Linked DNA regions of Macaca fascicularis. The protein of the gene in region 4 purifies or fractionates together with the protein of the main gene of each other region. This does not show direct contact. Links are inferred from orthologs where the notes say so. Each region holds a gene or a part of one and is shown on either strand. Other genes may lie near its edges. The genes, in order: WIPF1, PAK1, GIT1, NCK1, WIPF2, WAS and TNIK.

Region 1 (4,290 bases), on a different chromosome or scaffold from region 4:
CTGAATTCCCTGTATTTGGTCTGTACCTTTTTCACCTTATTTACCAAATTCTGCCTGCATACCTGCTGTTTGAAACCGTGTCTCATATCTACCAGAAAGTAAGCATTCAGGCGCAGACTTCGTCTCTTTCTGAGCTACATATTCCTTTCTACCCTTACCTAGCATAGAGTATAACTACCACCTCTAGCAGGGAACCACAATGCTCAATGAGTATCTGGCTTGATTCCAACTGTGACCTGATTCGATGTGGGTCCCTGCTAGCCACAAGGGATAAATAAGCCTACCAAGCCTTCAAGAACCATGGTATAATTGTGGATTGCTGGGAAACAGCAGCAGAGAGAGCTCTGTGTGGAAACCATTAAGAATTCAGTAGACCACACTGAAGGGAAGGCTTCAGGAAGACCACAGCCCTGGGAGGTAAAATGCCAAATATCAGATGCTTAAAAGTAAAGGGGTTACAGCAACAAATAAAAGGCACTTTTGTTTCATTTATTCTCTCAGTATGTGTTGTGGAAATCACCTATGTTCCTAAAATTACAACCATAGTTAGGAACACCTTGAAATAGCAAAGACAATGATACAGACCCAGTGATGAATACTGTCTCCTAAAAGGGTCTCATGTCTGGTCATAGCACCTGAGACAGTAAATGTACAAGGTCAGGGCATACTACCCTCTCTTCACCACCCACCCTTCTGCTCATTATAGATTTCATGTCTTAGTGCTACACACCGCATGGTATCTGGATGGCCCTTGTATCATACTGCTTTTTGCTGCTTCCTTCACACCCCATTATCCTACTTGATCCTCATACCCTGTAGTGGACATAGAGCAAAGATCATCAAGCCCATTTCTTGGATGAGACAAGTGAGGCCCAAACTGCAATGATATGCCTAAGGGCACCAGAAAGTGGCTGAATACACCACAATCTGTAAAATGAACAAATAGAAGGAGGCATGAATCCCCCCAGGTGGAAATAATCTCATTCTCTTTAAATATCCCAGAATTTGATCTTATCTTGCTTACAAATCTCTTTGCACTACCTCACACAACCTAAAAGAGTTGACGTGTTTTCATGGAGCCAAAGTTATGGCAGGGGTTGGGTAAGTCCCAGGGAGGAAGACAATATTTCTGAACTGGTTTCATAACATCTGCAGAGTTTAGTTTCAATATTTCCATTCAACAGGTAATGGGCTCTCACGGGTGGCTGGGGATATGCAGACTATAGCACCTCCAGGTCCCCGAGAAACTCAGCCTTGTGGGGATGACAGGCAGGTAGACATACACAGTCACAGTAGAAGGCAGTGTTGTGTGCAGTGGAAAGGGATTAATAGGCAGAGTGCTGATAGCCTATCAAGGGTTTTCTCACCTCAAGAACTTAAAAGGTGATTTACAAACTGTAGTAGAACATTTCTTGGAGTTATTTTATCCATTACAAAAATTAGCATTTTTGAAGATGGAAAAATCTACCAACGACTCAAGATCAAGCTACAGTATGGTTTTGACATTGCTTTGGGAAGCTGGCAAAAGAAAACCCACCCAGCGTGGAATCTGTTCACGGGCTCTGCGGCTGCACCAGACTGGAGTCTGGGGCTACACGCAGCCAGGGATGGAGGAATGGGAGTAGGGTGGGGTCCAGAGACGACCCAGGGGGCAGGACGGACACCCGCTTTTCAGTAAAATGGACCAAGTCCACTTGGTCACTGAGCCAACTTGAGAGTTTCCCAGAGAACTCAATAAGGCCAGGAGACCGTGGCTGAAGAAGGAATATTCCATCGGGATTTAAGCAGGACCAGAAGACCTCGCCAGGCTCAGTTCCTCACACAGCCACACCCTTTGTTAATCGCGAAGAGCTCAAAGTCTAACCAACCACCAGTGGTCTGAGTTAGAGCTCTCTGCGATTAACAAAGGCTCACAGCGACTGGGTCAGCTGCTTTCCCTTACACTCGCAACGCTAACAGTTCTTTCTTTAAAAAGAAAAGTGTGTATAGTAGAAAAAGGTAGGGGACGCGAGACTGAAGTGAAGCTGTCTGGAGAGTTCGAGGGAAGCACCCCCCCAACCCCCGTTCCCACTCCGGGCGAAAAGCACTGACGGGGACTGGAAGTGTCCCCAAGGTCTACGCCGACCTGGAGCGAGCTGGCCGCCCGGGAGTGCCGGGAGGGAGGCGGGCTGGAGCGCGGGAGGGGCACGGTTCCCACAGAGGCAGGCGGGCGGTGCCAGAGCTTGAGCCGGCCCCGGGGGATGCCCGAGCGTCCTCCTCCGTCCTAGCTGGGGTGTAGGTGCGGCCCCAAGGCATCGCCGCGAAGCCCTTGCTCGAGACCTACGGAGATCGTGGGTCCCAAGCCCCACGGGGCGGCCCGGGTCCGCGGAGCCCAGCGGTGAGCCCAGCCCTAGGCGCGGGACCCCCGGCCGTCCACCGCCGCTTCCTCCCCGGGCCATCAGCGGGGAGCAGGACGCGCGGGCCGCAGGCCTCCGCGCGCCCGCGCCCACCGTTCGCAGGGGACGCGGCCTCGACGTCCCCAGTCGCCCCACCCGCGTCACCGGTGCCAAGCGGCGCTTCCAAGCCCCGCCGTCGAGCCCAGCCCCTCCCGGCGTTCCCCCCCGTCCCCGCCCGGGAGCCCGGAACCCGGGTCGCGCCAGAGGCGACGCGTCCCTTACCGCGCAGCGGCTCCGGACGACTCCACAGCCCCGCGCCGCGCTGGGCATTTTTTCTGGGAAACTTCTCCCGGGGTCCGCAGGGCTGAGCCGCGCGGGCAGGAAAAGCGCTCAGCGCCCGGAGGCTGCGACCATCCGGGAACTTCGCCGAGATGTGGGCCCTCCCCCTCGGCGCCGCGGCCCCCCCGCCGCCCCGCCACATGTGGACGCGCCGCGAGGCCCCGCCGGTCCGCGCCCTGCCCTCCGCGCTCCCGCCTGCCCCGCCGGCAATAGGGCTCCGCGCCCGCAGTTTCCCGCGGAGGAGCGCGGCGGGGCGGATGGTCGGGGCTGGAGTTCACAGTTTCCTCCGTCCCGCTCCCCTGCGCGACGAGGGGACCGAGGCCAGGGCGCCTGGGACAGGAGTTTGCAGAGGAGCGGGAACTGGAAGGGGAGTCTAGCCCAGGGCCTTTTCCCCCAACTCTTGAATCCTCTCCACCTTCTTGCGGCTGCTGGCAGGGGGATCAGGTGGGGGCGTCCCCTCTCTCCGAGCCGGAAGGAACGCCTTTTCCCACGCTTTCCCGTCTGCTCTCAAATAAAGAGGGTCCAAACTTTCATATATCTGAAATTCAAATTCATTTTTTAAAATGGATTTCAAATTTGGGTGAACCCCACAGAGGCCCAAGGTCCACACGCATCTGACTCCTGCCCACTGTGTGGGAACAATGTGCTGGGAAAGATGCTGCCTCTCCTCACCAGTCGGGTGGAATTGAATTGTTTTGCTGCCAGTGGGGATGGATTTATCATCAGCCACCCACATCCTTAAATACGGTAGGATCCACAGCAAACGTGGAGAAAACTGAAGCTCTACTCCATTGCCCAAGCTAACTCCTGCTCATCAGGGGGTTCTGACTAGCTCTGAGAGCTGCCACCTCCAGGCCCCAAAGAAAAGTTAACATTCACTCACTAAGACGATATGGCTACCGAGAGTGTGCATTTGAAAGGAATAACAACAAAAAGTTCTGCTCAATGTAATAACCATTGGATCATATTGTTAAAATATAAAGGCTGTGTATCCCTTTGAATAAAAGCAGAAAGGTGAGAATATAAAGCCACCTTTGCAAAATTATAACTGAGGAAATTGTGACAGTGAAAGAAATCATATGTACAACCGGCTCTATCTTCCTTCTAACCTTTAAAGTGTCCTTGTTCACTCCTGGGCGTAGCCGTTGGAAAAGAATTCAGTTTTTGGTTTGACTCTGAAACAAAATTGATAATAGCCCTTTCCCGAAAAGATCCGTTTCTTGCCTGGGGACCAGTCTGCCTTTGCAGGACTAACAAATTACCTTTAAGATTAGAAATTACAGTTTAGGGGTCATGCTGCCTCTGGCTCCAAGAGTCTGAACCTCCCCCAAATTGCTCCTGGGGATAACATTACTATTGTAAAACCTAGGATCTGTGCTTGAGATATTTTGCAGACCCTGAACTCAGTGGATCACACTACGACACCACCCAGACGGGTAATCTGGCTTAACCAGTTCTCCCATTCTACCCAGGAACAGAAAAGAGCAAGAAAAACTCACTTTGACTCCCTGTGATTCCATCTCCAACCTGGCCAATCAGCACTCCCCACTTCTCAAGCCCCCTACCTGCCAAATTA
Region 2 (3,384 bases), on a different chromosome or scaffold from region 4:
AATAAAAGATCCTAGCTAAATCATGAAGATAGGAATTCCAATATATATCATCCTATGTATTTCTGTCCATAAGTGTGTTCTCACAGGAGAAACAGATGTGAAGCTTTTATGATTTACGATTCTCAAAGTCATGGTTTTCAATATTTACAATGTACACGAACAAGTTAAAAAGCCAGCTTTCTCAGATCACATGTTTCTACAATTCCCCTAAGTTGAGAGCAGCATGATCCAACACCGAACTGGAAGGCCTCAGTTTCCTTCTCTGTCTAATAAACAAAACAGACTAGATGAGCCCTAAGGGCTTTCCAGTTGTGATACTCTTTGAGCCTGTAAGAGCAGTGGCCAAGAGCATACACACTTCGGAGCCAAACAGGCTGAAATCCTGGATCTGCCACATATCAGCTATCATGGAAAAGTTACTAAATACTTGAAACCTCAGTTTCCTCATCTGTAAAAATGAGAATAACAGAACCTATAACTCATAGAGTTGTTGTGAAGGACAATATATAAAGTGCTTATTAGTGCCTAAATATATAAAGTGTTTAGTGCCTAAAATATGGTAAAGATTCAATATAATGCATTTATTACTAGTTATATTACTGTATCAGGAAGAAAACTTTAGAGGGCACTAACCTTTCAAGAACTATAGTTTGGTACTTAATTAAGAATGGTATCTTTACTAATCATAGGCTTAGCATATCGTATTTACACATTTCCCAGTGCCTACAGTTTGCAGAATACAACTCTCATGAACAGCAAAAGGGGTCCTACATTGTACTAAGAGACTTTTAGTCCCAACAGATACTAGAGACTAATGGGTTACACTTGGCAGAACCCAGATCTCATATCTAATAGGCCAGTACTCCATAATCAGTAACCTCAATTACAAAGAGATGATAAATATGTTCCAGAGGATGATATTCCAATGTAGGTTCTTCCAGCAATTTCATTCAATTCAATAAATATTTTTTGAGTACCTATCCTAAGTCAGGTTCTAGGTAAAACAAGAAACTCAGGGATTAATAAAATAGAGGTTATAATCCAGTAGGAAAGATTCATAATTAACACAGGGCAGTATGCTAGGTCCTGCCCTGCCCTGCCCTGCTCTGTCACTCCTGGGCTTTATAATACGAAAATAAATGACAGTGCATGCCTTCATAAAGTTGCACATGATACTTACTATTAAATCACTAGTGGGCAATACAATAAAAGAACACTTGTTATAAGAAATTGTACTGGAAACAAATATGTTAAATACAAATGACGTGGCCTGCTAAAGGCAATTTTTTCAACCATGTAAAATTATCAGGATTAGGGGGGTGGGAGTATAAAAGGCCTGGTAAACCCCTGACTCCGGGTTTCTCCACAAACTGGCAAAATCTCACTCTCAACAAGTAGAGTATCATTGCCATTATCTGAGGATTTCCAGTGAAGAAAGTATAGACTCCAAAAGCCATACTCACTAATTATCTTCTAAACTTATGTTCCATGGATGGGCATGGTGGCTCATGCCATGCCTGTAATTCCACACTTTGGGAGGCTATAGCGGGCAGATCGTTTGAGCCCAGCCTGAGCAACATGGCAAAACCCTGTCTTTACAGAAAATATAAAAATTAGGCAGGTATGGTGGTGCACGCTTGTAGTCCCACCTACTCTGGAGGCTAAAGTGGGAGGATCAGCAGAACCTGGGGAGGCTGGGGCTGCAGTGAGCCATGACTGCACCACTGCACTCCAGCCTGGGCAACAGACAGAGATCCTGTCTCAAAAAATAAAACATAAATAAAATAAAATAAACGTATGTTCCTTTGCTAAAAATGTATCCTTTGAGCTAATCCCAGCAAAAATATAACTTGCGTAAGATTTGGATGTCAGAGAGCCATTTCTCAACAAGACTCAAACAAACTCTGCCAGACTAATTCAAACAGAACAAAGGATGTGCTAATGAAAGATACAAGCAGGCCGGGCATGGTGGCTCATAACTGTAGTCCCAGCACTTTGGGAAACCGAGGTGGTCACATCGCTTGAACCCAGGAATTTGAGACCAGCCTAGCTAACACAGCAAAACCGCGTCTCTACAAAAAACTTTTTAAAAAATTAGCCCGGTATGGTGGCATGTACCTGTAGTCCCAGCTACTTGGGAGGCTGAGGTGGGAAGATCACTTGAGTGAACCCAGGAGAGGAAAACTGCAGTGAGACAAAATCACACCATTGTACACTCCTGCCCGGGTGACAGAGTGAGACCCTGTGGGGAGGTGAGAGTAAGGGAGGCGGGAAGGGAAAGGGGAGGGGGAGGGGGAGGGAGAGGGAGAGGAAAGGAAAGGAAAGGAAAGGAAAGGAAAGGAAAGGAAAGGAAAGGAAAGGAAAGGAAAGGAAAGGAAAGGAAAGGAAAGGAAAGGAAAGGAAAGGAAAGGAAAGGAAGGAAGGAAAGGGAAAGGAAGGAAAAGGAAAGAAAAGAAAGGGAAAGGAAGAAGAAAAGAAAGAAAGGAAAGAAAGGAAAGGAAAAGGAAGGAGGGAGGAAGGGAGGAAGGGAGGAAGGGAGGGAGGGAGGGAGGGAGGGAGGAAGGGAGGATGGGAGGAAGGGAGGGAGGGAGGGAGGGAGGGAGGAAGGAAGGAAGGAAGGAAGGAAGGAAGGAAGGAAGGAAGGAAGGAAGGAAGGAAGGAAGGAAGGAAGGAAGCTACAAGCAAAGCTCAATAGGTGCTCAGAAAATGATTGTAAACTGAGCCTAGGAGAATGTGTAGAGTTTTAACAGGCCAAGAAAGAGGCTAAGAAAATAAATAAGCAAAGCCCCAGGGATAAAAGTTAGAGCAGTAGGAACAGAGTGAGGGTAGGAAATGGTAAAAGAGAAGCCTAGTTCTATAATATCCAGTACCTTACAGACAAACATGAAGTAAAAAAGGCCTGGTTTAGTGATTCCCTGAATTAGGTGCTTCCCTGCACAGGGACAGTTACCTGCAGCAGCTCTTTAGCTGAACCTCTCTTCTCCACATCCATCTCAAGACAGCGGTTCAGAAAGTCCCGGAAGATAGCTGACAGCTTCTCTGGGTTCTGAAGTTCTGGGGTCCCATTGGTGGCAATGAGGTACAAGGCCTGGCAATAAAAATGGTGAATCACCTTGAACTCCAACTGAGGCTCTCTCTTGTTCTCCATATACACATTCTAGAAATATGGTCAGCTGCTTTATGCTCTAGGATGCAAAGTAGCAGCTGTGTATATATACTGGAAAGAGTATGACCTAAGGATCAGGCTGAACATTTAAAGGCCATGAGACTATGTGCAACTTCCCTATCTGTAAAGTAAGGATGATGATAATGCCCATCTCACATATCTGTAAAAATAAGATAGTGTATTTGAAAGTACTTTGTAAACTTACGAAATATGTTACA
Region 3 (4,032 bases), on a different chromosome or scaffold from region 4:
ATTCTCCAGGGCTCCCTGCCCCCTTCCTCTCTTGGACTCCCCAGGCAGGCAGGAATGCACACGGTGCCTGACAAGGTGGCACAAGCTGCCAGAGCAGCCACACCATGTCCAGTTGCCTACCAACACACTCGCACTTGTCCCGTGTGCCCAGGCCCGGGAGCAGAGGGAGGATGGGGCTCTCTGGGAGCAGGCTGCATCTCACCTCTGACCTCCATGACTCCCCAAATTAACCAAGCACAAAAAGTCCCTGGCCCCACTCCTGTGGCTGGGACTGCAGGGCTCCTATCACAATAAAAGAAGGCTGTGACCCTGGGGTGGAGCGATACACCATGGGGCTGGCACTGGATCTGGACTCCAGACTGCTGGGTACCCTCATGCCTCTCTGCCTGAGATGCCACAGGACCCAGACCAAACACGTCGCTGCATGCCAGGGCCAGCATCCTAGGGTCCAGGTGTGGGATAGTCCCAAGCAGCCAGCCAGGGTCCCGACAAGAAGCCAGACACTCAGGGAGCGCCTGCCATGTGCTGGACACTTCGCTGGTGCTAGGTGGGCTGATGTGTAAGACTGTCCATATCCTCCCCACCCTACCATCCTCACCTTCTCACCACCTTCCTGACCTCTATTGTGTATCAGGGGAAAAGAGTCATCTGGGGCACAAATTCCTCTGACGGATGAGGACCTGGGAGTAGGAGCTGGGCAATCCAACACATCTGATGCCCACCATTCCTCCCTGAGCCCACTGGGCATCCAGAGGCTTTGGATGACATTCAATGCAACAGAGAAAGGACAACTGCCTTGCTGCCTTGCTGGTGCTGCCCTTCACCCCTCCACCCCAGAATCAGATCACAGCCCCCCCAGAAACCATTTCTACTCCAATTTCTTTGCCTCCTAATTAAGGAAACTGAGGCCCCCACAGTGAGGAAAGTCTTTTTGGGGTTACAGAGTAAGCTGGGAACAAAGGCAACACTATGCCCCAGGCTTCCCCGATAGGGTGCCTGCTAAGCCTCTCCTCCACATGCATGCCATGCTCACCCCATGGAGGTGCGGAACAGTGGGCAGACATTTATAAGGCAAGGTGTGTCCTCAGCCCTGCCATCCCCAGACCTGCCTGCAGCTGGGGGAAGGGAGTCATAGTTTCTTAGGGGTATGGACCCTCAACCCCAGGGCCCTCTAAACCAAAAGCCCCAAGGAGGAGAGTATCTTGTGCCCAAGCCCTGCTGGGTCACAGTTCCCAAACAGTCTAGCTTGGCACCACCCCCAGAACCACCAGAGCATCTGTGAGGCTCAACCTGTGGGGTCCTGGGCTTGCTCAAGGGGTGGCTGAAAGTTATGGACCCACAAACCAGCACCCCATAATCTCACTCTTAATAATGCCCACAGCCCCGCTAGAGTTCACAGACCTCCGAAGCCTGCCCAGGGGCCTACTAGGGAGATAGCTCCTTTTCTAAAGAAAGAATGGATGGGGGCTAGAGCTTCCCTCCCAGGCCAGCTGCAGAGCCCAGTCACTGGCTGTCCTCCCCCATCAGAAGGGAGCAGACTCTTGGATCATTACCCCTGACTTCCTCAGCAGGCCTGGGGGGTTTCACTCCAGCCCAGTCCTGACTCTGTTAGGAAAAAGAAGAGAACCACCATGTAAATACAGCCAGGAGGCAGGCTAGGAAGCCAGCAGGATGCGGGGAATCTAGGCAGTGCCTCCCACCCATTTCTCGCCAGACTGGGCTAGGGGACAGGGAGGGGCCGGGGCCCAGGATAGCTTGATGCCAAGCTCACTTTCCCAAGCGGGCCTTACGGTGAATAGGAACAGCAGGGTCCAGCCGAGCTGTTCCCAGTCACCACCAGCAGGCCTGGTGATGCCTCCCGATAAGACACCCGGGTCTGAACTGGCCCTGAACGCCAGGCCCCGCAAAAAAGCGCTAGCCTTAGGAACCCGCGGCAGGGAGTCCTGGGAGTAGCCACTGCTCATCTGCTCCTGAGGAGACGGTATCCAGGCCCCGCTGGCGCATCTGCCCGGCCCTCTGCTCCTTGCCCTCCACCACCCCGGCAGGCGTGCCGACCACGCGAGCAGCAGGTGCAAGACGCGGGGGTGGCACTGAGATGACACAAAACCACACTCGCCCCCACCTCCCAAGCCCTGCCGGCCTCCGCCACTGCCCTCCTGCCACCCCAGGCTGGCGCTTCCGTCGGATAGAGATGGAGGTGGAGGGGCAGCCAGCTGCCCGCCTCCCTCAGACCGAGGGGCGGGAGGCAGCGCCGGGAACGTCCTTCTTCGCTCGTCCACGGCCTCCAGGGAGCATGGGCCCCCCAGGACAGCCCTCCCGCCAAGGACGCGGCTCCGCAGTGGCCGGGGCGGGGGCCGAGCCCGGAGGCCGCAGCCCCCCGCCCCGCCCAGCCCAGCCCAGCCCAGCCCTCCGGCCCCGCACGGCGCTCTCGCCAGGCCCCGGCGCCCGCCCGGCGGCGGCCTGGCTGTGCGGTCCCGCCCCCGGCCCCGCCGCGCTTACCCGGGGCGCTGCAGTCCGCACACACCTCCGCTCGCGGCCCCTTTCGGGACATCCTCAGCGGCGACGCGGCCGCAGCCCTCTGGGCCAGCGTGGGGGGCGCGGGCGGCGGGCCCGGGCGGCGGCGGCGGCCCCTGCTGCCCGGCCCGGCTCCGGCGAGGCCCCGGCGAGGCTCCGCGCGCCCGGCCAACCGTCCGCCCCGGGGCTGGCCCGGAACCCGCCGTGCCCGCCTGCCCGCTCGCCCTCGGGCGCCCTCCGCCCCACGCCGCCCCGCCGCCGCTCGCGACTCCTCTCTCCGCCCCCTGCGCGGCTCCGGGCCGCTCCTGCAGGAAGCGGCGCAGGCCCTGCCCACCAGGGGAGGGGCCGCACCCCCGCCCCGCCGCGCGCTCCCGGCCGCGCCCCCTGGAGAAAGGAAGCCCGGGCGCGGGCGGGAGGGGGCGGGGGCGCTTAAAGGGGCCGCGGCTAATGCCCGGCCCCGGCGGGCAGCGGGGCCTGCGGTCCTGGCCTCCGCTGCGGCGCTCGCCTGGCCCGGAGGCAATGTGAGTCACCCTCACAGCCCCCTCCCCTTCACTTTCCGCGTGGGGTGGCCTGGGGGACGCTGGGCCGAGGGATGGCGAGGGCGGGGATTAGGCAGGAAGGACTTGGAGGCCCAAGTCCCGCTCCAGGTCAAAGGGGCTGTGCCTTGGGGTACCCTTCTATCTCTGGTTGGGGTGAGGTGTGCCTCCCGGTCCTGTAGGTGTCCACATCTGTGTGTCCAGGTGTGTGTGCGTGTGTCACACTCTTGCTGAATACGCTCATTGCCAACAATATGGACGCCCAGGTGCTAGAAAGGTCAGGCAGTGTATTCCCCTGCCTCTGGACTAAAAATATATCTATCTCTCCATGCATGCTTCCATCCAGAGAGGAATCTGGGCGGTTTTTAAAGACCTCCCAAGGAGTGACCACTGTGCCTGTGTGCACTCAAATCCACTTGTCATCCGCCTTATACACACGGTGTTTCTGGGCCACCAGAGGTGTGTGCGTCCAGAAAGGGTGCATATAACACAGAGGGGCCGTTTCAGGTGACAGCCTTTCTTCCTGGACTTCACACGAAGAGGCAGGCAAAGGCAAGGCAGGTGAGGGACGTGGGTGGGCTGGGGGGCAGGGAGCCTAGTTGGAGGCCTCACATGAGCACAGCCCCCGCACTGAGCATGCTCCCCCATACACGTGTGCCGCGCGTGCACCCAACCCCCAATCCCTGCAGCAGCAAAAGGCCCGGGCACTCTGCTTGTGGGGAGAGGGCAGAGGTCCCCAGGGCCAGACCTGGGGGCCAGGTCAGTGGTGACAATTGAGGAGGGGTTATCGAAGTCAGAGACTCCTGCTCGGTAACAGATGGGGGCAGTCCTTTGGCAGGGGTGCTCAAGTTGGTCGATTTATCCCAGCGGTGCCAGAGCGGCAGTGACTTGTGGGTGGGCAGGCTCCTTCCCTAGGGGAGACAAGTAATTCTCATGAGTCACACCACCCGAAATACATGCAAAGCTGCCTCCATCGCCTTTT
Region 4 (3,500 bases):
GGCACTACTCTGCCTTGACTTGGAGTGTGGGCCTAGATTTACAGAAACTGCATGTTAACACTTATGACCTTCACTGGTCTTCTGCATTGAACACCTGCTATGAGTCAAACTTACCTAGTCCTTGCCTTTTCAAGTCAATTATGCACACTGCTGCCAGAATTATGTACAAAGAACTAAGTTCCAGGTTTCATTTAAAACAAAGCTGCTTTTCTTTTAATAAAAAATATCTTACCTAAGGTATCTTTTAGGTTTTTTACAATAGATGCTTTCCGAGCACTATTTTTCCTTTCCACATAGTTAGAAGGCACAAAACCTGTTTTATTCATGGAATTTCGAACTCGCCACCAGGACTTAGAATCATCCAGAAGCCATAATCTCTCATTTTTCTTGATATCCAACTCTTGTTCTTGTTGGGCCACATAATCAAATTTGGCTACTACCACCACTTCTTCTGCCATCTTTCAGCAGCTTCAGCACTGTAAACACACGGAAAATATTTTTATGTAAGGTTGAAGTAGTATTAGTTCACATGCTTTTCAAAAGAGACACATCTAAAAATCTAAAGACATAAAGATGAAAAGTAAAAAACATGGAATAAAATACATGAGGCAAATACTAACTTAAAGAGACTGGTGTGGCCATGCACGGTGGCTCATGCCCGTAATCCCAGGACTTTAGGAGGCCAAGGCAGGCAGATCACTTGAGGTCGAGTTTGAGACCAGCTTGGCCAACATGGTGAAACCTCATCTGTACTAAAATACAAAAATTAGCTGTGCGTGATGGTGCACGCCCGCAGTCCCAGCTACTCAGGAGGCTGAGGCATGGGAATTGCTTGAATCTGGGAGGCGAAGGTTGCAGTGAGTCAAGATCGCACCACTGCACTCCAGCCTGGCAGCAGAGGGAGAATCTGTCTCAATCAATCAACCAACCAATCAATAAAGAGACTGGTGCTGCTCTATTAGTATCAAACAAAACTTTAAGGGCAAAAACTATTACTAGCAAAAAAGTTCACTACCCAATGAAAAATATTCTACTCAATGTATGTAATATCTAAACTTTTATGTACCTAACAAGATAGTTCCAAAATATGTTGAGAGAACCACAAGGAGAAACTGACAAAACCATTACCACAGAGGACAATTTTTAACATATTATCAGAGTAATAAAACAATCAAGGAAGTAAAAACAGCCGGGCCTGGTGGCTCACGCCTGTAATCCCAGCACTTTGGGAGGCCAAGGGGGGTGGATCACCTGAGGTCAGGAATTCAAGACTAGCCTGGCCAACATGGTGAAACCCCATCTCTACTAAAGGTACAAAAAATTAGCTGGGCATGGTGGCGGGCACCTGTAATCTCAGCTACTCGGGAGGCTGAGGCAGGAGAATCCCTTGAACCCAGGAGGCAGAGGTTGTAGTTAGCTGAGATCGTGCCACTGCACTCCAGGCCTGGGCGACAGAGCCAAACTCAGTCTGAAAAAACTAACTAACTAACTGACTAACTAACTGACTAACTAACTAACTAAATAAATACACTATTAAGGCTAGAGAAGAACCGATATCACAACCAGTAAGTCTGATTTACAGACTTACTGGTTAATATACAGAATATTGCTTCCAAACAGAATACAAATGAAACACATACAAAAATTAATCAAATGCCAGGCCATAAAGAATGTCTCAACGTTCATGTAACTGGTATCCTACAACCACATTCTCCAACAACCATAACAAAAAGATAACTTTTGAAATACCACATTTGGAAACTTCTAAAAACTAATGAATCTAAGAAGAAATCATATTGAATTTTAAAAATACTTAGAAGTAAATAATTTTAAAAACTATACATCTAACCCTGTGGTATACAGCAAGAGGAGTGTATATAGACAGATTTTCAGTTTTAAATAGTAACATTAAAAAATAAAAAGAGTGGCCGGGCGCAGTGGCTCATGCCTGTAATCCCAGCACTTTGGGAGGCTGAGGTGGGTGGATCACAAGGTGAGGAGATTGACACCATCCTGGCTAACACGGTGAAACCCTGTCTCTACTAAAAATACAAAAAAAATCAGCCGGGTGTGGTGGCAGGTGCCTGTAGACCCAGCTACTTGGGAGGCTGAGGCAGGAGAATGGTTTAAACCCAGGAGGCGGGGCTTGCAGTGAGCCAAGATCGCGCCACTGCACTCCAGCCTGGGCAGCAGAGCGAGACTCCGTCTCAAAAAATAATAATAAAAATAAAATAAAAAAACAAAATTTAAAAAGAGCTAAAAATAAATTAATGAACTGAGTATCTATCTTAAGCAGTTAGAAAAGTTAAAGAAACATTAGAAAAACAAATCCAACTAGAAAATGAGCAAAAAAACACAAAGAGCCATTCACTGAAGATTTACAGATGGCAAATAAGCAGATGAAAAGGTAATCATCATCATTAGGTATTAAGGAAATGCAAATTAAAACCACATTGAGATGTCACTACACACACTTGTCAGAATGGCTAAGAGTGGTAATACCAAATGCTGACAAGGGTAAGCTAAAATTGGATCACTCATACACTGCCGATGAGAGTGTAAAATGGTACAGATACTCTGCAAAATTGTCTAACAGCTTCTCGTAAAACTAAACATGCAACTACCATATAACCCAGCAACTGTACTCCTGGGTATTTATCCCAGAGAAATGAAGACTTATGTTTACATTTTACATGAATAACAGCAACTTTATTTCTAACAGTCAAACACCAGAAACCACCCAGATGTCCTTCAACAGGCAAATAATTAAACTGGTACGTTCATACCAAAAAGGAACAACTGATGCACAAAACCTGAATGAATCTCCAGGGAATTATAATTGCTCAGTGAAAAAAGCCAATCTCAAAGGTTAACTATATGACTCCATTTATATAAAACCCTCAAAATGACAAAATATGGAAATTAGAAACAGATTAGTAGTTGCCAGGGTTAACGGGGTAGTGGGAACAGGAGGGAAGTAAGTATGGCTATAAAAGGGCAACATGAAGAAATTTTGTAATATTCTTGTGATATTGTACTATACTTCTGCCAGATGTATTACCAGTGGAGGAAAACAAACACTGGATTTCACAATAAGTTCTAAAGTTTTCAGAATTGCATGTGGATCTATAATGATCTCAAAATAAAAAGTTTTATTAAAGTAAAAACTGAAAGAGAAAACACAAATAGTCAAAAAGTATTCAAAATATCCTGAATATCTTTATAATTAAAGAAATGAAAACTAAACTGAAATACCATACTTTATCAGGGTGACAAAAGTATCACCAATATTATCTAGTGCTCCCCAGAATGTACAAAAATAGCATTCTACATTACTGGTATAATAACTAAAAATTTATATAATGCTTTTAAGTCTTTTAGTTATGGCACTTTTCAACATATACAGAAGAGAGCAATAGTATAATGAACCCTATACCTATCACCCAACTTTATCAATATTATGACTTGTGGTTGGTTCAGCTATCCCCCTAATTTTTGGT
Region 5 (3,500 bases), on a different chromosome or scaffold from region 4:
TGTCTCAAACCAAACACCTATCTTCCCACAAATTCGCAGTACTCCTAACCATCTGGCCATTTACTGCAACAGCCCAGTAACTGGTCTCTTTTTGTCACCTTTGTCCTACTGCAGTCTGTTATCAACATAGGTGCTAGTGATCTTTTTAAAAGGTGAGTCAAATCATACTACTTCTCTGTTTAAAACTCTCCAGTGGCTTCCCATCTCACAAAGTTAAATTCAAGGTCTTTGCAAAGTCCTGCAGTGTTCTCCCCTGCAGCTCCAGCTTTCCAACCTCTAAGTCCTACCACTCTTCCCTCCCTCAGTCTTTCTAGTCTTGCCACAAAGGCCCTCTTGCTGTCCCCAAAATGTTTCAAGAATACTTCTACCTTATGTCCTCTACATTTGTTGTTCCCACTGCCTGCAACAGCTGTTCTCCTAGATAACTAGTAAGCTTACTCGTCACTTTCTTCAGGTCTTTGTCAAATTTTCACCTTATCAGTAAGGACTGTCTTGACTCTCTCCCTACTGCTCCAATTTATCATCATCCGACCTCCGCCCCAGTACATCTTATTCCTCTCCTCTGCTTTGTAATTCTCTAAAGCATACTACATACTATGTATTTATATATTTTACTAGTTTGACTGTCCAAAACAAGAACTTTTTGTCTTTTCTATTTATTGCTATTTCCCTACCAACAGATCTGACGCATAAAAAGGTACTCAATAAACCCATTGAATGAATAAATGAATTACTGTCTTCAAGCAGTGCTCTGGGGAAAAGATAAAATCAATTCACAGCACGATAGGGAAAAAGGTGCTTCCAAGCACTTACCTGCTCCCCGACTGGGAGGGTCTCGGGCTGGGGGAGGTGGCCTATTACTCAGTAAAGAGGAGGAGGCTGAGGTGGGCGGAGGAGGTGCTAGGCCTCTGACAGGCCCTGGTGTCTTCCTATGCAAAGAATTGTGTCTCTGTGGCAGCTCAGGGGCTGACTCATTAGTGGGGCTAGAGGGTCCATTGGGGACCCCAGGAGGCTGGCGGTAAGGCGGAGGAGGAGGAGCCAGAGACTGGCCACTTGGTCCCGTTCTGATATTCACAGGGGAAGGAGGTGGTTTGACTGGGGGTGGAGCAGGAGGTCCCTCTCGACCAGGGTGAAGCCTCTGTCCAGGCGTCGGCGGCAAGGGTTTCTCTCTGTTGTAGGCGGGCGCTTTGTTGCTGTGCATAGGCAGAGGTGTGGGGGGTGCGTTGGCACGCCGCCCTGGGGGTGGCGGGGGAGGGGCAGAGGAGCTGTGCTTCATGCCCGTACTGCTGGTGGTATTAGGCCGAGAGAGGTCCGGTAAAGAGGGTCTCTGCATCCGGGGCAGTTCTGGGAGTGAGGCCCGGCTGCTGTCTGTATCATCCTGAGGACGCCCGCTGGCTGCAGATACTGGAGGCCTTGGGGCAGCAGCTCGAGAACTGGGGACTTGCAGGGCCGGCTTACCAGCTAGGTTCTCTACAAATACACAAACACGGGGTCAACAGAGCTAGACAGATACTGGTCAGTATCTCTACTTGACTCAGCTCCTTAGTGCAACCTGCATGGTAGCAGGGAAAGGACTTGCATAGTTCTGGGTTTTTGCTTTTTTGTGTGTGTGACAAAGTTTTGCTGTTGTTGCCCAGGCTGGAGTGTAATGGCATGATCTCAGCTCACCGCAACCTCTGCCTCATGGGTTCAAGTGATTCTCCTGCCTCAGACCCCTGAGTAGCTGGGATTACAGGCGCGCACCACCACACCCGGCTAATTTTTGTATTTTTAGTAGAGATGGGGTTTCCCCATGTTGGCCAGGCTGGTCTCAAAATCCTAATCTCAGGTGATCCACCCACCTCGGCCTCCCAAAGTGCTGGGATTACAGGCGTGAGCCACCACGTCCGGCCTAGTTCTAGGTTTTAATATGGTTTCAGGCTCAGGATAAATTGTTATTTATTTTTAAATTTTACTTTATTTTTGACAAGTAATGATTTTATGTATTTATGGGATACAATGCCTTGTTATATGTATACATTGTGGAATGATTAAATCAAACTAACATATCCATCACCTATTTTTCTTTTTATGGTGAAAACACTTAAAATCTACTCTACAACAGGCGCAGTGGCTCATGCCTGTAATCCCAGCACTTTGGGAGGCCAAGGCAGGTGGATCACTTGAGGTCAGAAGTTTGAGACCAGCCTGGCCAACATGGCGAAACCCCATCTCTACTAAAACTACAAAAATTAGCCAGGTGTGGTGGCCTGTGCCTGTAATCCCACCTACTTGGGAGGCTGAGGCAGGAGAATGGCTTGAACCCAGGAGGGGGAAGTTGCAGTGAGCCAAGATGGCGCCACTGCACTCCAGGCTGGGCCAGAGCAAGACTCCATCTCAGGAGGAAAAAAAAGAAAAGAATAAATAAAATAAAACTCTTTTAGCAATTTTCAAATATACATCAAGTATAATCAGGGGTCGTCTGATTATACCCCTGGGGCCACGCACCTGTACAGGTCAGTGACCTGTTAGGAACGGGGCACACAGAAGGTGAGAGAGCAAGCATTACCGCCTGAGCTCCGCCTCCTGTCAGAAGAGCAGCAGCATTAGATTCTCATAGGAGGGCGAACTCCACTGTGAACCGCCCATGTGAGGGATCTAGGTTGCATGCCCCTTATGAGAATCTAACTAACGCCTGATGATCTAAGGTGGAACAGTTTCATCCCGAAACCATCCCCGACCACCATCCATGGAAAAATTGTCTTCCATGAAACCAGTTCCTGGTGCCTAAAAGACTGGGGACTGCTGCAATAGATCACTAAAACTTATCCCTCCTGTCTAACTGAAACTTTGTACCCTTTGACCAACATCTCCCCTTTCTCCATCCCAACACCTACTGCCCTCAGCCTCTAGTAACCAACGTTTCACTCTCTACTTCTATGAATGAGTTCAACTGTTTCAGATCCCACATATAAATGAGATCATGCAGTATTTGTGTTTTTGTACCTGGCTTATTTCACTTAGTATAATTTCCTCCAAGTTCATCCGTATTATCAGAAATGACAGAAGTTTCCTTCTTTTCTAAGGCTAAATAGTATTCTAGTGTATATATACCACATTTTCTTTATCTAAATTGCATCCGCTTTCATTTAATCCCTCAGCTTTTGCTGTATTCTACTGTATAACTCCTCCCCTGCTCCCAAGTCTTTCTGCCCCCGACCTTTACCACACTCCTCAACTTGAGATGGCCCACTTGGGACATCAGAAATTAACACACCAGGGAAATATCCTGGGAAAGTACTCATCAGATACCTGAACCGTCCTTGGCTCCCACAGGTCGAAGCTTCGGCACTCCTCCTTGGAACAGACCTCCCTTGGGCTGCAGGGCAGCTCCTCCAGAGCCATAGCCACCACTGCTTCCTTTGGGCTCTGGAAAGCATACCAGTAGGGTTTTCATTTCACATGCTCTCAGCTGATGACCAAGTCAATCATGAGGGGAAACCCCTCCTCTGTCTGGGCTA
Region 6 (4,081 bases), on a different chromosome or scaffold from region 4:
ATTTATTTTTTTCATTCCCTCATGCTTTATCATTCACTGGCTCATTGACTAATGGATTTGTTAAAATTTTCATTTACTCTTGTATTCATTCAATCATGCTTTCTTCACTGACTGAAATTTGTCATTTAGCCGTTTATTCACTGTTCATTCATTCACTCATTCACTAATTTACTCAGTCATCCATCTACCTTTTCATTCATTTATCCACATACCCATTCACCTATGCATCTATCTACTTAGAGTTTTATCCTCCCATCAACTCATCCCTCCACTCAGCCATCTACCACCAATCCATCCACCCATCCATCGATCCACACATCCATGCACCCGCTCGTCCATCCGCATACCCATCCATCTACCCATACATTCACCCACTTACGCACCCATCCAACTGCTCATTCCTCCATTCACTCTTCCACCTACCCACCCATCCATCCAGAGACACAGGGAAGAATCAGCACGCACCTCCTTGGTCTCCACCTGGGTGCGGGGGCAGGGGTGGAAGCCCTCCTCTTCTCTCTGGGAAGATAGAATGTGTAGAGAGCTATCACAACCCTGCCACAGGTTCCTGGGCTAGCCCCTTATTACCGCTACTTGCACTAGAGTTCTCACCTTCATTGGCTGGTGGTGGTGGTGGGAGTAGCTGGCGTCTGTCTGTGGATAGACAGATGGATTGGGAGCCAGGACCATGAGAGATAACTTTTCTAGTTCCCCATGCTTGCACTCACCTCTGCCCAACTTCCTTTCCTCCCCTGCGGCCTCCTCACCTCCACTTTGCCTCTGATTCCTTTTTTGTATCTTCTCCTGCACCAGGGCCCGGAAGGCCTGGGCCTCGCCCTCGTCTGCAAAGTTCAGCCCCGCTTGGCAGTCCTGCACATATCTTGGGGTCAGCCGCCTCCCAGGTCCCCCCACAGCTTTCCCATCTCCTCTCCACACCCCAAGTGAGGCCCGAGGGCTGGTTGGTCACTTACATCTCCAGCGAAGGTGTGGAAGAAGGGGGTGGGGGTGGAGTAGACAAGCTGTGAGTACAGCTCCTGTTCCCAGAGCAGCCGACCAGCCTGGAGAGGTGTAGGGTGGGAGGCACAGTGGCACTGAGGCACACCAGGGGTGGCAGGCCTTTGTTAGCTGGGCAGGGAGCAGGGTGTCTGGATTTGGGGGCCTCATGGTCTGGTTTGGAGATTTCCAGCTCAGCACCAGAGAGCTGAGATCTAAGGGTGTGGATGTGGAGTATAGTCTGGGAGCCATACACTTTTGTGAGAGGTTTGGATTTGGGGTTCGGGGCCCTAGATGTGGGACTTGGGAGCTTGAATTTCATAATTTAGGACTCTAGTCTTAGGAAGTTGAGGCTCATTCATAGATTCAATCCATGCCCTCCCCTGCCACCCCAGCCCCAATTCATGACAGGTAGGATTCTAGTATTTGGGAGTTGGAGATGAGATTTGAAGTTCAGACACGTAGACTTGGGAGTTTTGCGGAGGGTCCAGCTAAAGTAAGTGCAATTTGGGGTTTGTGGAGAAGAGTTATGACTTAGGAGTTTGGTGAATATTTGACAGTCTTGGGATCTGGAAGTTATGCTGGGTCCATCTTTATGGGTTTAGAAGGATGAATTTGGGGCTTAAACCTAGAAAGTTCAGGTCGGGGAATTGTGGAAAAGACTTTTTGCTTAAGAACCACCTCGGTATTTGAGTGTTCAGGAATTTTAATATGGGAATTCTGGGGTCTGTGCTGTGGATTTAAAAGGACAGAATTGGAGTTCAAGGATCAATGGAATATTCAACTTTGGGGTTTGTTGAACAGATTTATGACTTAGGAGCTTGGCAAACATCTGGGGTTCAGGAGTTTTGATGAGAGATTCCTGGGATGCAAAATGTTGAGTTTAGAATAGATTTGAGGTTCAGGTACAAATACAGTCCTCATTTATTGGAATTTGTGGAAAAGATTAGGCTTAGGCAGCAGACTAATACTGGGGGCTTTAGAGATCTTGATATGGAGACTGGGGCCAGCCATTGCAGACTTAGAAAGGCAAGCCAGAGTTTGCCATCTGGATGAGTCTTTGGTTCTGGGGCTCAGGGATTCACTGATCAGGTCTGAGATCTTGGGACTGTGGACACATATGGACACAGATCTGGGTTTGTGGGTTGAGAACTGGCTTGCAAGTCCAGTCAGGGGCGGGGGGGGGTCACCTGAAGGCCGTAAAGGCGAATGAAGTAGGACTTCTGGGGGTTATCCTTCACGAAGCACACAGCCCCACAATGCTCCTTGGTCCAGTGCTCAGCTCCAGGGGGCAGTGCCAGGTACAGCTGAACAACTGCAGTGGCCAGCGTCTGGGAGGGGAAAGCAGGGGTCAGTGGAGTCTGGTCAGGGGTAGCCACAAGGTCTTGGAGCCAGACCTGGTCCTTCCTGCCTCATGACAGTCATGGGCCCGAAGGAAGAGCTGCAGCCAGAGGGAAGGCAAGTAGACATTGAGATCTTCCTGGGGAGGGTGGATGATAACAGGAGAGTCTAGGAGAGAAGATGATGGAGAGGGAAAGGAGGAGCGGGAGGAGGGGAAGAGAGAGAAGGAGGAGAGGAAGAGGAAGAAATGGTGGGGACGGGGCGGGGGCAGGAGATCCCCAGCTCACCAAGCATTTTCGTCCAAGCATCTCGAAGAGTCGCTGGTTCTCGTGGTCCTGGAGGAGGGTGGAGGGTATGTTCTGTTGAACCGCTGGTGCTCCCCGGCCCCCAGGCCTTCCTCCCATTGGGCCCCCACTCATGGTGCTTTCTGCCCTCGTCTTCTCTGGCAAGGCTCTGGGTGCAGGGTAAGAAGAGGAACTTCCGCAGTGAGCAGCAAGGGAACAGGAAGTGCAAAAAACCACAAGGGACAAGGGAAACAAGTCCTCCAGGGGCCCCTTGGTGGGCCTGGCCTCCTCCTCGTTAGGCCGAGCTTGGGCCCTCTACCATCAGATTGGAACCCTCCTCCACTTGACTGCTTAGACCCATCTTTTGGATCAGCTTGGGTCCTCCTCCTCCTTTCTTACTGTCTGAGGCCCATCTCCTTCTGACTGGCTCAGACCCTCTTCCCTCTGGCTGGCAGTGAGAGCTTAGCCATTGGCAGCACATCTGTGTGCAGGGCACCCTGTGGCAAGGAGTAGTCATGGGCCTGGGTGGCCTCCTTCCTAAAGCACCCAGGTAGCCTGAGGCTGAAGCCCAAGGCCCCTAGTCCTGAAGGGTTACTACACTAAAACTTTTCCTTTTCGCTGGGGACAGTAGCTCACACCTGTAATCCCAGCACTTTGGGAGGCCAAGGCAAGCGGATCACTTGAGGTCAGGAGTTCGAGACCAGTCTGGGCAACATGGCAAAACCCCATTTCCACTAAAAAATACAAAAATGAGCCAGGCATGGCGGCATGCACCTGTAGTCCTAGCTGCTCAGGAGGCTGAGGTAGGAGAATCGCTTGAACCCGGGAAGTGGAGGTTGCAGTGAGCTGAGATTGCACCACTGCACTCCAGCCTGGATGATGACAGAGCAAGACTCTTGTCTCAAAAACAGCAACAACAACAGCAACAACACAACAACAAAAACCCTTTTCCTTTTAATTACAGAGTGAGCCCCTGTGATCCACGCCTATCCTGAGTGCTTAGACACTGCCAATGACGCATATGCCTCTGGTTCACTTCCCCATCCCTTACCCTTGCCTCCCTGCAGCTCCCAAATTACTTTCTGCTCATCTTTTTTTTTTTTTTTTTTTTTTTTTGAGATGGAGTCTCACTCTGTCGCCAGGCTAGAGTGCAGTGGCGCGATCTCAGCTCACTGTAACCTCAGCCTCCCAGGTTCAAGTGATTCTCCTGCCTCAGCCTCCTGAGTAACTGGGACTACAGGCGCGCGCCACCACGCCCAGCTAACTTTTTTGTAGTTTTAGTAGAGACAGGGTTTCACCATGTTGGCCAGGATGGTCTCGATTTCTTGACCTCATGATCCGCCCTCCTTGGCCTCCCAAAGTGCTGGGATTACAGGCATAAGCCACCGTGCCCAGCACATCCCTTTTTTAAAAAAAAGGAACTTTATATCATATATGAATGCCTGAACAACATCTTGTTTAAT
Region 7 (4,100 bases), about 43 Mb from region 4:
GGAAGGTGGAGATGATCTGCCCTCTGATTTGTGGAGATTACCTATGTGGCCTTTGGACCCACTCCAGCAGGCACACCTCACCCACAAGACTGGTCAAAGACCCTGGCCCCACATCTGCAACTGTCTCCACATCTGCATCTGCATCTAAGTCTTCTAGCCAGCAGTTCCTGGTCCCCAAGCTAGCTGTTGCCCTCTCTGTTTCCACACCTCCCAGCAGGCAGAAAAACAGCAGCAGAGCCCTAAGCTGATAGCCCAGGCCACAAAGAGCAATTTCAGTGCATTGTGCAAAGATATGTTTTCAAAATACAGATCACAAGAATGCACACCCCAAGTGTGATCCGCAGTCATCCGCCCGGTGGCCCTCAGCGGTTGCTCTCGTGCCTGCAGGCTCTGTGCTTGGTATCTCAGAAAACCTTCCCGAGGAAAAAGCCCACAAGGGACAAGTCCGGGCCCAACTTAAAAATCACATCAGACTGCTTTCCAGTAGAGGAGCAAGGTGGAGATTCCGGCCCAGGGAAATCACCGCAAACCCTGCACATTGTTCAGAACCTTTCCCCCTTTGCCACTGCCCCCCGCCTCCGCCACCCCGACCCCCGACCGACTCGCAGCACCCCACCCCCAGTCTGGGCCATCCATCCACCTGATTAACCCGCCGGCAGCAACTCCCAGCGCAGAAAGTAGGGCAAATGAACACACACAGTCGGTAAAGCAGGAAGCCACAGACCTGGCCAATGCACCCACCCTGTTACCAACCCCACCCCGCTGCGCAGGGGGCAGCCGGTTCTTGATGTGGCATTTCCACTCCAGGGAAATAGACAGCTTCCTGTAATAATGCATGAAGGAGCTTCGGCTGCCCAACTATCAGAACAGCCCATTTCAAACGGCATCTCTGTTTCTTCTCAACTCCTTACCTGCCTTGCTGAAGCCTCACCTCTTGGCCCAACAGATTAAGACGAAGAGAGAAAGCGTTATTAAAAGAGATGTGGAGGAAAAGGTTTAATTAAGGAGACCAAAGAGAAAGTACCACTTTGATCACAAAGGTAGCACTTTAATATAACAGTACAGAAAGAGGCAATGTCAGAAGTACTAGGAATCCAGGTAAATGGCCCCAAGATTCAGCATCAATCTAACAATGTATTCCTCAGGAGGGCGTGTGAACTTCCATACTTCATCCATCCTGGTGTCTCCCTGTAGAAAGCCACCATCAATTCCTTCTCATCCACCCTCCATACATCAAGTACATGCACTCGCTATTTTTTAAATTTTATTTTTGGTTCGGGAGAGGAAGAAGCAGTCCTTAAATTGGTGTCCAATCCTTCTCAGACACCCGCTGCTGCCACCATCCCCACCCCTCACCCCTTCCCAGCAGGCAGCATCTAATTAAAATGACAAGAAAGCTCTGCCCCCTTCCCCGAAGGAGTGTGTTGGGATCGGGAGTTGGGGGTGGGGAAGCGTCAAGGCAGCACTGGGATTCCTGGTATTCTGATCTCAAAACAACAGCAAAATGGATTCTGTATCAGTGATGTCTTAGTCAATACAATGAAACGGCGTCTGAGGTAATTCACGTGAAGGTAAACGCAAACCAGTGGGGCTGGGGGGAGGGAGGTGCTCTACAAAGGACCGGCCACAGACACGGGGAAAACACACATACACACACACACACACTCGCACACACTCCAGGGAGTTCCGGTCTGATTGAGGAAAAGCAGAAAACACATCCCTTTCACCTGCTTAAGTTCAGCCATAAAACTGAAACGTTACAGCCACAAAGTCAGAAAGCACAGGCAGGGCTGAGTTAAAGCCATAAATAAAGGTGAGTGGCAGACTGGCATTTAAGGGAGCGCTGAGAGGGCGCCCGGGTGCGGGAGGCAGAAAAGGGGGAGGGGGAGACAGTTGCCATCTACAAGACAAGCATAGCAATAACTGCCCCCTTGGAGCGGCAGGTTCGGCTTCGCGGGGACAGTCAGCCTCACAATGTCATCTTGCAGGTAGCTGGAAAACGTGAGGAGCCAGTGCCTTTATTCACGCTGGCATTCTTTTTGCAGAAGGGACAGTTGGGTCTCGCTCCTTGGCACCAGACAACTGCCCGGGGCGTGTACACACGTACACACCAACACACACACACACCTTTCATTTTACTGCTCTTACACCGGTATAAGATGAAAGCATAAGCTCCACGAGCTCCACGAGCCCTCGGGAGAGCCTCGGCCACGGCCAAAGGAAGACACGTACCGCACAGCCCCTGCCGTAGGGGCTCAGCCGGGAGCACCTCAGCAACCCCGAATCAAAACGGGAATCCAGGTTCCCTCCCCGACGCATTCTCCCGCTGCTGTCCCCCAGCCCCAGCCCCTGCCCCCAGTCCACGCACCGAGCCCATTCACCCTGACCCAAACCACTGGAAAGAAACCAGAAAACATGTCCTGCTCACCCTCAGAGCCGAGAGATCTATTTCATCCAGGCTTCGAGCCGGGGAGTCGCTCGCCATGTCTACTTCTTCGCTGGAGAAATGGACCAAAACCACCCCCAAGCTTTTCCCTTGGAAATTCCACCTTGGTCTATTTCACTCGCGTCCTCATGCGGGTATCGCGCCAGAGGCCCCGGGCCCAGCCTCCCCCGCCCACCCCAGCCCCACAGCGCCGGATCCCGATCCTCCGCGCGTCGGTCCGCCGGGTCCGGGAGCCCAACCTGCGCGGATCTCCAAGCCCGGAGCAGCGGTGCGTGTGGGCTGAGCGCCCCGATCGGCTAAGGGCGCTGGGGCTGCGTGGGTGTATTTAAATGGGACATGCTTCTTTGCTTGTGCGTGGATGGCGGCTGCATTGGCTGTTATAATGAGACACATCAACTCCTCCACTCAGCGGGGGGAGGGTGGGGGTGGAGAACCACACAGAACTGTCTATCACCGCTTCCTGGGAGGAGTGAAGGGGGTGGGGGGGAGGCGGAGGAGGCGTGGTCTTGGACTGGGGAGAGGCCGCGCTTCCTGACCCGGTCCCTCCCCGCCAGCGTGGAGGGGGGAGGGGCGCGCACCCTTTCCGCCCAGGCTTTTGAGGGCTCCTGGGGCCAAATCCGAAGGGCTGTTCCTGAACCTTGACTTGCTTATCATAGGGACCCAAGCTGTATTTTTGTGTGGCCAATTCGTGCACTGCAGCAAAATGGCCCTTCAGTCTCATCTTGGGGTTTCTCCTCGGTTCAAATGCTCTCCCGCTGAGAAAAAGCCGGAGGAAAAAAAAGCGACACCCTCCCTCCCCTGTTAATTATTTGTGGGGCCGGAGTAAAGCGGGCTGGTGCAATCGGTGCATATAAGGACTTGTGTGCAAGGAAGGGGATCCGCCTCCAGGCGCGGAAAGAGTGGGGGAGAAGCGCACACGCACAGTGCACTCAGCTGGGCGCTTCGGCAGTTTGCAGCTGCGGCGGGGTCGGGTCCAACCGCGGTCCCCGGAATGCGGGACGGCGGGTCCCGGGTGCTGGTCACTCGCCGATTCGGGACCGGGAAGGTTTGCCAGAAGCGGGAAAGATGGGAGATCTGAGCGCTCTCTTGGCATCGCCACACCCAGTACCTGCTCGTGCCGCAATTCCCCACGGAAACAACCGAGTTGAACCGAGAAGCTTGTTCTTTGGGTGCAGTAGCTAGAAGGCTTCAGGTAACTCCAAAGCCAGCACTGGGTGAGGCAACACACGCCGCCTCAGGACTCAGCATTTCTTTCAGGCTGCATTTTCGTGTCAGACCTACCCAGATTGATGGAGAAAGTTTGGCTGGCGGATAAGAAGTAACGCGGAATATGTGTACGTGAGAGCGATTTCACTTCACCCACTTTCTCATTTAAAGGTTGGATGTTTTACAGTGGTATACATGATCCTTTTTCTGTAATGAAGAGTGCGAAGTCGCTTCCCCCAATCCCCGCGCAGCCCTTCTTCTCCCGCCTTAGCCACGCAAAATACATACAAAGAAAACACTAAAACTGAACTTTTTTCCAAATACAGCAGTAGCTTTGAAAGCATTCTTTGCTCCTCTGCTAACAGCAGAATGTACTTCTGACCAGTGCACTGATGGTTTCTTAATCATGCAGTCTGAAGATCAGCTTCAAAATAAGGCTTATGAACGA

What was found.
Region 1: the proteins of NCK1 (region 4) and WIPF1 purify together in Homo sapiens (co-immunoprecipitation; 5 studies listed by BioGRID and IntAct, with this or other methods). This does not show direct contact. The link is inferred for Macaca fascicularis from reciprocal best matches to the Homo sapiens genes NCK1 and WIPF1.
Region 2: the proteins of NCK1 (region 4) and PAK1 purify together in Homo sapiens (affinity purification with western blotting; 8 studies listed by BioGRID and IntAct, with this or other methods). This does not show direct contact. The link is inferred for Macaca fascicularis from reciprocal best matches to the Homo sapiens genes NCK1 and PAK1.
Region 3: the proteins of NCK1 (region 4) and GIT1 purify together in Homo sapiens (affinity purification with mass spectrometry; 4 studies listed by BioGRID and IntAct, with this or other methods). This does not show direct contact. The link is inferred for Macaca fascicularis from reciprocal best matches to the Homo sapiens genes NCK1 and GIT1.
Region 5: the proteins of NCK1 (region 4) and WIPF2 purify together in Homo sapiens (co-immunoprecipitation; 3 studies listed by BioGRID and IntAct, with this or other methods). This does not show direct contact. The link is inferred for Macaca fascicularis from reciprocal best matches to the Homo sapiens genes NCK1 and WIPF2.
Region 6: the proteins of NCK1 (region 4) and WAS purify together in Homo sapiens (affinity purification with western blotting; 4 studies listed by BioGRID and IntAct, with this or other methods). This does not show direct contact. The link is inferred for Macaca fascicularis from reciprocal best matches to the Homo sapiens genes NCK1 and WAS.
Region 7: the proteins of NCK1 (region 4) and TNIK purify together in Homo sapiens (affinity purification with mass spectrometry; 3 studies listed by BioGRID and IntAct, with this or other methods). This does not show direct contact. The link is inferred for Macaca fascicularis from reciprocal best matches to the Homo sapiens genes NCK1 and TNIK.

Annotation. Positions count from the first base shown.
Region 1 is NC_088386.1:70,191,357-70,195,646, forward strand, and holds the start of WIPF1 (WAS/WASL-interacting protein family member 1), read right to left. Parts: upstream 2,801-4,290; 5' UTR 2,658-2,800; intron 1-2,657. UniProt on the Homo sapiens protein: Plays a role in the reorganization of the actin cytoskeleton. Contributes with NCK1 and GRB2 in the recruitment and activation of WASL.
Region 2 is NC_088388.1:76,214,312-76,217,695, forward strand, and holds part of PAK1 (serine/threonine-protein kinase PAK 1), read right to left. Parts: intron 3,089-3,384; coding exon 2,951-3,088; intron 2,185-2,950; coding exon of another isoform or gene 2,131-2,184; exon of another isoform or gene 2,119-2,130; intron 1-2,118. UniProt on the Homo sapiens protein: Protein kinase involved in intracellular signaling pathways downstream of integrins and receptor-type kinases that plays an important role in cytoskeleton dynamics, in cell adhesion, migration, proliferation, apoptosis, mitosis, and in vesicle-mediated transport processes.
Region 3 is NC_088390.1:35,093,513-35,097,544, forward strand, and holds the start of GIT1 (ARF GTPase-activating protein GIT1), read right to left. Parts: upstream 2,801-4,032; 5' UTR 2,552-2,800; coding exon 2,500-2,551; intron 1-2,499. UniProt on the Homo sapiens protein: GTPase-activating protein for ADP ribosylation factor family members, including ARF1.
Region 4 is NC_088376.1:39,789,205-39,792,704, reverse strand, and holds part of NCK1 (SH2/SH3 adapter protein NCK1), read right to left. Parts: intron 743-3,500; exon of another isoform or gene 621-742; intron 477-620; 5' UTR 459-476; coding exon 233-458; exon of another isoform or gene 1-232. UniProt on the Homo sapiens protein: Adapter protein which associates with tyrosine-phosphorylated growth factor receptors, such as KDR and PDGFRB, or their cellular substrates. Maintains low levels of EIF2S1 phosphorylation by promoting its dephosphorylation by PP1.
Region 5 is NC_088390.1:61,347,383-61,350,882, reverse strand, and holds part of WIPF2 (WAS/WASL-interacting protein family member 2), read right to left. Parts: intron 3,409-3,500; coding exon 3,292-3,408; intron 1,471-3,291; coding exon 814-1,470; intron 1-813. UniProt on the Homo sapiens protein: Plays an active role in the formation of cell surface protrusions downstream of activated PDGFB receptors. Plays an important role in actin-microspike formation through cooperation with WASL.
Region 6 is NC_088395.1:48,838,757-48,842,837, reverse strand, and holds the start of WAS (actin nucleation-promoting factor WAS), read right to left. Parts: upstream 2,801-4,081; 5' UTR 2,754-2,800; coding exon 2,622-2,753; intron 2,325-2,621; coding exon 2,184-2,324; intron 1,059-2,183; coding exon 972-1,058; intron 871-971; coding exon 768-870; intron 655-767; coding exon 613-654; intron 520-612; coding exon 466-519; intron 1-465. UniProt on the Homo sapiens protein: Effector protein for Rho-type GTPases that regulates actin filament reorganization via its interaction with the Arp2/3 complex. Important for efficient actin polymerization. Possible regulator of lymphocyte and platelet function.
Region 7 is NC_088376.1:82,933,349-82,937,448, forward strand, and holds the start of TNIK (TRAF2 and NCK-interacting protein kinase), read right to left. Parts: upstream 2,801-4,100; 5' UTR 2,486-2,800; coding exon 2,429-2,485; intron 1-2,428. UniProt on the Homo sapiens protein: Serine/threonine kinase that acts as an essential activator of the Wnt signaling pathway. Recruited to promoters of Wnt target genes and required to activate their expression. May act by phosphorylating TCF4/TCF7L2.